2 linked regions of the Saccharomyces cerevisiae S288C genome follow. The gene in region 1 interacts genetically with each later gene. Each region holds a gene or a part of one and is shown on either strand. Other genes may lie near its edges.

Region 1 (3,516 bases):
TTGATTATATCGTCGGGTTGGAATCCCGTGGGTTCTTGTTCGGACCAACTTTAGCTTTGGCCCTAGGTGTTGGTTTCGTTCCAGTCAGGAAGGCAGGTAAGCTACCTGGCGAATGTTTTAAGGCTACGTACGAAAAGGAGTACGGTTCTGATCTTTTTGAGATACAGAAAAACGCTATTCCAGCAGGTTCCAACGTTATCATTGTTGATGACATTATTGCCACTGGTGGTTCTGCTGCTGCAGCCGGCGAATTAGTTGAACAACTCGAAGCCAACCTTTTGGAATATAACTTTGTTATGGAGTTGGATTTCTTGAAAGGCAGGAGTAAGTTGAATGCTCCAGTGTTCACTTTACTGAACGCTCAAAAGGAAGCGTTGAAAAAATGATATGTTTCACGTCCTGACCCATATTCAAGCTTCCTTTCTGCCGGTTTCAAGCAATTTATTTTTCTTACTTCTCCTTACTCTCTCAATTTGGTTGTATAATATTTACTTTTTAGATTGAAAAATATTCAATCCACTTTTCTGCTTTGTGCCACAAAGTAGTCTATTTAGTTTTTTATCTATTATATGCTTTTAAAGAGTTTGGAAATCGAGACCTGCATATGCAATAGTAATATTCAAGGGTCCTTTGATTCTGACTCTAAGCGAGCATTTGCCTCCTGAACTTCTCTTAATGACGTTCCAGGAACAACACTCCAGTCTATCATTTTCTCTCCGCGGGTATTGTATAGCCAATCGTTTATCATTTTGAAATGGTTGGTACCAAAAAATCCTCTACTTGCACTTAATGGAGACGGATGCACTGACTTCATCACCATGATATTAGGGTACTTACTACCGCTTCCAACGGAAGTAGATCCCAACAGAGACTCTACTAATTTGATAGCATTGTTCCCCCATAAGAGGAATACTAAACTCTTACCGTCGGCCTCTCTGTCCTGGATCAACAACTGAACTACCCTTTTTGTAAAAGTTTCCCAACCATGCTTAGAATGCGAGTTTGCATTATGTGCTCTTACAGTTAACGAGGTATTAAGCAATAAAACCCCTTGTGAAGCCCAGTGAGTTAAATCTCCCACTTTATTATCTTCAACAAAATCAGGATACTCTTGCTTCAGTTCCTTATATATGTTCTTTAATGACGGTGGTGCTGGTGTAGGGGGTTTGACGCTAAAAGCCAAGCCATGCGCCTGATTAAAGTTGTGGTAGGGATCTTGACCGATAATCACGACTTTAACTTTATTAAAAGGCGTTAGCCTGGTCCATGAGTAAATATCCTTTGCAGGCGGAAATACTGTATGATCAGCTTGCTCTTTAGTGACAAACTGTTTCAACTTTACAAAATATGGCTTTTTAAATTCATCCATTAAATGTGGAAACCACGAATCATCAATCGTTTCTAGCTCCAGCGACAGTAGTGTACGTAAATTGCTGCTCAAGTTCTTCGAATATACATCTTTTGCATTTGAATTAGCAGGATATTTGTCCGTGTTTGCCTCCTTTGCGACCGCCTTTGTCTCTGTCTTGATAGCTGCGCCATTTGTTATGGTCATGAAAGTAGCGCCCGATTTACCTTTCTTATTGGGCGCCTCATTAGTGCTTTTCTTTGTACCAAAGAAGTCTTCGATCGTAGTTTGCTTTCTCTTTCGAGCCACCGTCATAACTGAATTTGTTGGCAATCTTCTCATGCACCACATGTATGTGAACGGCTTGTGTACAGCTTCTGATAATATATATCATTATGGATGAATTACGCGTTGCGGACACATTCCAGGTTTTGACAATAGGGAAAATATTGAGTTTATATGTAAAGCTTTTTACAAGTCACTAATGTGAACAACGTGAGGTAATTCCATGGAAAGTTCATATAAGAATAGTTCGAAAACTATCTTTTTTATTCCCACCAGTCACTAGATTCGGCTTTATACATATAGTGGGCTTATCACTGCTCTTGGATAGCACTTTTGCACTACAAATAGACACCATTACGAAGAATTGGAAGAGACTTATATACAGAGTACCAGTAGGTAGAATGGTCACGACTCCATTGCATTCCTCGCCGAAAAGCAGTCTGAAATCTTCAACGACCTCACTGCGCTCAGTACATACTCAGTCTGGTCGTATGGGGCCTAGTGAGCCTAAGCACAGAACAACCAAATCCTGGTCTATATGGGGAGGTAATGACGAGGAAGAACCGGAGTTATCTAATAAAAATAAAGGAAAGGAAACCGCCCAAGACAACAGTCAAGAAAATGACAATGTTTCAAATGAGGGAACACGCTTGCACGATAATCAACAAACAACGATTTTAAAGGAAACCACCAGGATCGAGAAGGGTGAGAAGGACAAAAAAGACAGAAATGCAGCTATAGTAGAAAAAAACACAAGACCACGAGCATGGCCATTCTTTTGGGGCCGTAACAAAAAAGATCCGGAGCCGACGCATAACATTCCCACTGATGCGGATAATAACACTTTATCACGTTTAGCAAATAGTCTAAATCCGGCTCCTCTAACCAACACTTACATACCTTATAAACCTGATGCTATATTGATCAGAGATAAAGGTGTCAAAACTGCTAAGAAATTAACAGATGACATAGGCAATCAGTTTCCTAACATTGTTGTACCAAGTTTCGATATTTTACCGAAACAAACCATATGGAATACAGTCACATCCACAATTTGGAAGTGGAAGACTGAATACTGGGATAGAAGACCTTCATCAAGGGTACGAGAGGGGGAAGAACAGGTGCAGCACTCACAAAATCAGTTAAAAGAGGAAACAAACACAGTTGCAAACGAGGCAAAAGATGAGGAGCGGTTGGAACACAACAGAGGATCTCTATTTAGGGTTGATCCATGGAAAAAAATAAACCTTCTATCAGATTACCAATCTAGGCCCATCAGAGTTCTCATTGTCGGCGTTCATGGGTTCTTTCCAACAAAAATTATTAGACCGTTTATTGGTGAGCCAACGGGTACATCTACCAAGTTTGTCACAGAAGCTGAGGAAATAGTGAAGGAATATTTTGATCAACATAAAGTACCCATTGAAATAAGCAAGATCGCTCTTGAAAGAGAAGGAGAGATATTTGATAGAGTAGATTTCTTCTACGAAGTTATGAAGCATTGGAGCAAAGAAATAAACAATTCTGATTTTATTTATTTTGTTAGCCATTCGCAGGGGTGTCCGGTAACCATTATGCTTTTAGCGAAGCTGATCAAAAACGGCATAATAAACCTTGATAATTCTCAATTTTTCAACGATGAAATTCAGTTTTGTTCGTCCAAAAAAATTATCTCGGTCTTGGCCATGGCAGGTATCAATAATGGTCCATTCTACGGTGCAGATCAAACTTTGTTTGTTCGTGCTTACCAGACGATTGAAAAAGACTCATTGAGGGAGTTATTCGAGTTTCAAAAGTTTGATTCCAAACAATCGCAAAGCTTCATAGAAGGCCTAAGAACAATCATATCAAATAACGTTAAGATTACATTTGTGGGATCCATC
Region 2 (3,601 bases), on another chromosome or scaffold:
AGCTTCCTCTATACATGCTGGCATTTTTTTACATAGTTCTAATAGTATAATATACATATAAAAAAGAAAAATCATGCGTTTTATATATTTCTATAAATACATTCATACCCAAATTATGGAACACGTTCGGAATATTACTTAAAGAATACTGCAATAATGGAAAGAATATTTGAAATGAATAAAAAGTATGATAACAAGGTTATAAGAGAGGTACAAATAAAATAAAACAAGGAATGAAGAAAAAAAGCACAAAAAAGGCAAGATAGTAATGCCTCACAGTATTTTGAATTCTGTTAGTAGAGGTATATGATCACTAGGATGGTTTTCATTGGGTAAACCCAACTGATTAGACGCTAGCAATTCGTCTGATACTTCATTACCGGTTAGGATCTTAGTTAGTAAAAAATCTGAATCATGGTACCATACGTAATCAAAGATGCCCTTCAATTTTCCTGAATAGCACGTATGTACAAAATAATCCTTTGGTATATCGTCATAGACACAACGATCCAAATACGGCCTCATTGGGTTAATAAGATTAAGGTCTCCATGGCTAACTATCTGACCTTGCAGAAAATTAACAACTAGCGAATCTCTTGTAGAATTTAGATCACCAGTGAATAAAATCTTCACCCTTTCTTGGCCTTTTACATCTCCCGGTAGGAGCTGCTTAATGATCTTTGATAACTCTCTCATTATAATCATGCATTGTGTTAGCTTAACTTCGTCATATTTCCAATACAAATGAGTATTTAAAACGACAAAAATAGTACCCGTCTCCTTATGTCTTAGAGATACGAATAAGCATACCTGATTCTTGCCTTTTAAAACATCCAATAAGCTGTCTTCACCAATAACATTGGAAGCACCATCGGTTAATGTTACCTTCTTATTGTATAAGTATTTCAGTTCCCTTTGATTGAAAACATTCAGTAGCTGGTTTAAGTAGATCCCTGATGACGATATAAAGTCAAATTTTGCAAGATTATAGAAAATAGATACACCGTCCATATCTTTAACCGGTTTTTTCCAATACTTTGGGGGTGTCTTGGAAATGAATTTGGACCCATAATTGACATCTACCCCTATGGAATCGTGCCAATAATCTTCATAATCTCTTGCGGTCATTTCTTGGAGACACATAATATCAGCCTTGAAAGTATTCAAAAGTTCTTTCTCCAGCAGTCTGTGCCTATAACTCCAGTTTTTGTATGGCTCTGCAACGTATGTGTATACCTGTGGCCACATATATGACGGTGAGAGCATGTTGTATGTTAATAAAGTGAACCTAGCATCTTTTCGCACATATTTACCGATGTTTTGCTTAGTTGACTGAACAACTGGAATAAACCTTCGAGTAAACATTGTTACTTGTATGAGCAGTAAATCTCTCTCCAATGTTCTTTTTTGCCGTTATCCAGCTTAGTTTGTGTAGATCTCCTTTCTTCTCTAACAGGAACAATTAAACAACTCATGGTTAATTTGTTAGTTTTGTTGCCGAGAAATCAAAATCAGCTGGTGAAGCAGTTATCCTAACTTGGGAATATACATGTAGTAGAAAGGAAGGAAGGCAAGGACCTCTTTAGCATTTTGAATCTGTTGCTTATTGGGAGCACACAAAAAATGTATAAGCACAACGTCTTTCACAGTATATAATGAGAGAGGAAAGTAGGTCTAGGAAGAGAAAGCATATTCCTGTTGATATTGAAGAGGTAGAAGTTCGATCTAAGTATTTCAAAAAGAATGAGAGAACTGTTGAGTTAGTAAAAGAAAATAAAATCAATAAAGATTTGCAAAATTACGGCGGAGTAAATATTGACTGGATCAAGGCACTGAAGCCAATAGAGTATTTTGAATGGATCGAATCAAGGACTTGTGATGATCCGAGAACTTGGGGACGGCCAATAACTAAAGAAGAAATGATTAACGATTCTGGGGCGAAAGTTCCTGAGAGTTTCTTACCCATATATAATCGGGTGAGATTAATGAGGTCCAAGGTTAAAACCCCGGTAGATGCTATGGGATGTAGCATGATTCCTGTTTTAGTTTCTAATAAATGTGGGATACCTAGTGAAAAAGTCGATCCAAAGAATTTCAGGCTTCAATTTCTTATTGGCACTATGCTTTCTGCTCAAACGAGGGACGAAAGGATGGCGCAAGCGGCTTTGAATATCACCGAATACTGCTTAAACACATTAAAAATAGCAGAGGGTATTACGCTAGATGGACTGCTTAAAATTGATGAACCTGTATTAGCAAATCTAATTCGATGCGTTAGCTTCTATACCAGAAAAGCCAATTTCATCAAAAGAACCGCACAATTATTGGTAGACAATTTCGATTCAGATATACCGTATGATATAGAGGGAATTCTCTCGTTACCTGGAGTTGGACCTAAAATGGGATATTTAACACTGCAAAAAGGTTGGGGGCTGATTGCCGGCATATGCGTCGATGTTCATGTCCATAGGCTGTGTAAAATGTGGAATTGGGTAGACCCTATTAAGTGTAAGACTGCCGAGCATACTAGAAAGGAGTTACAGGTTTGGCTACCTCACTCACTGTGGTACGAAATAAACACCGTTTTGGTTGGATTTGGTCAATTGATCTGCATGGCCAGGGGTAAGAGGTGTGATTTATGTCTAGCAAACGATGTCTGCAATGCTCGCAATGAGAAGCTAATCGAATCTTCCAAATTTCATCAATTGGAGGACAAAGAAGACATCGAGAAAGTATATTCGCATTGGTTGGACACGGTTACAAATGGAATTACAACAGAAAGACACAAGAAAAAATAGAACCACCATTCATTGTGGAAAAAGATGAAAAACCATTATGTATGTCATTAAAATAAGTAGGTAGGGTTTTATAAACTATTCAAATATTTCTCATATACTCGCTAGAAGTTTTAGCAACCCTACAATCTGGGGGTATACAGTGTGAAAGGCCGCTGGAACATGTTTGAAAATTGCCATCAATGACTTATATTTTTTCAAACATAAGAGTAGCAGCAGACCTGTGAGCAGAAGTCCGTTTTTGTTCAGCACACTTCTTGTGAAATGATGCTTCAGGACAGCCCAAAATGAACCAGCCAGAACAGTAATATCATTGTTTTTTTTACGGGGCGCCGTTCCAGTACTCTGGAGTCTACTATCAGTAGAGGTGCGTTGATTAAACGCATCCTCAACCTTAACCTGTTCTTCACTACTATTGTGTAACATAGGCTCGTGAAAATGGTGTATTTTCTGTTTCACTCCTCTTTGTTTACCTTTAGACTTCGCCTTATCTTTTTGTATTTTATTATCTATTGAGTTCAGAATAGCATCCTCTATGGAAACATCTTTAGATAAGTAAAGGCCCTTTAGGGTTGGAGATAACTTAGGTAATGTTTTGCAAAGCGCCCAATACATATTCGGTGAGGGTTTTTTATGATGCAGTTTTACCTTCACCTGAAAGATGAATATCTCGATTAATTCTTGTAAGCCAACTACATCTATAGTTGTCCTCATTTTCGTTATGTATACGAAAATGAAATCACTCATTATGGATTCAAGCTCCAGAGTTTTTTCTTCTTGTTCGGTGTGATCAGTTAAGTTAAACT

What was found.
Region 2: of UNG1 (region 1) and NTG2, changing one suppresses a phenotype caused by changing the other (phenotypic suppression), as found in Saccharomyces cerevisiae (one study listed by BioGRID).

The regions. Positions count from the first base shown.
Region 1 is NC_001145.3:229,115-232,630, forward strand, and holds UNG1 (uracil-DNA glycosylase), read right to left. Parts: upstream 1,700-3,516; coding exon 620-1,699; downstream 1-619. Other genes in the region: adenine phosphoribosyltransferase APT1, read left to right, coding at 1-386; YML020W (uncharacterized protein), read left to right, coding at 2,035-3,516. UniProt on the Saccharomyces cerevisiae protein: Excises uracil residues from the DNA which can arise as a result of misincorporation of dUMP residues by DNA polymerase or due to deamination of cytosine. Not involved in strand-directed mismatch repair.
Region 2 is NC_001147.6:247,589-251,189, reverse strand, and holds NTG2 (bifunctional N-glycosylase/AP lyase NTG2), read left to right. Parts: upstream 1-1,655; coding exon 1,656-2,798; downstream 2,799-3,601. Other genes in the region: NGL1 (RNA exonuclease), read right to left, coding at 274-1,365; PEX15 (Pex15p), read right to left, coding at 2,889-3,601. UniProt on the Saccharomyces cerevisiae protein: Bifunctional DNA N-glycosylase with associated apurinic/apyrimidinic (AP) lyase function that catalyzes the first step in base excision repair (BER), the primary repair pathway for the repair of oxidative DNA damage.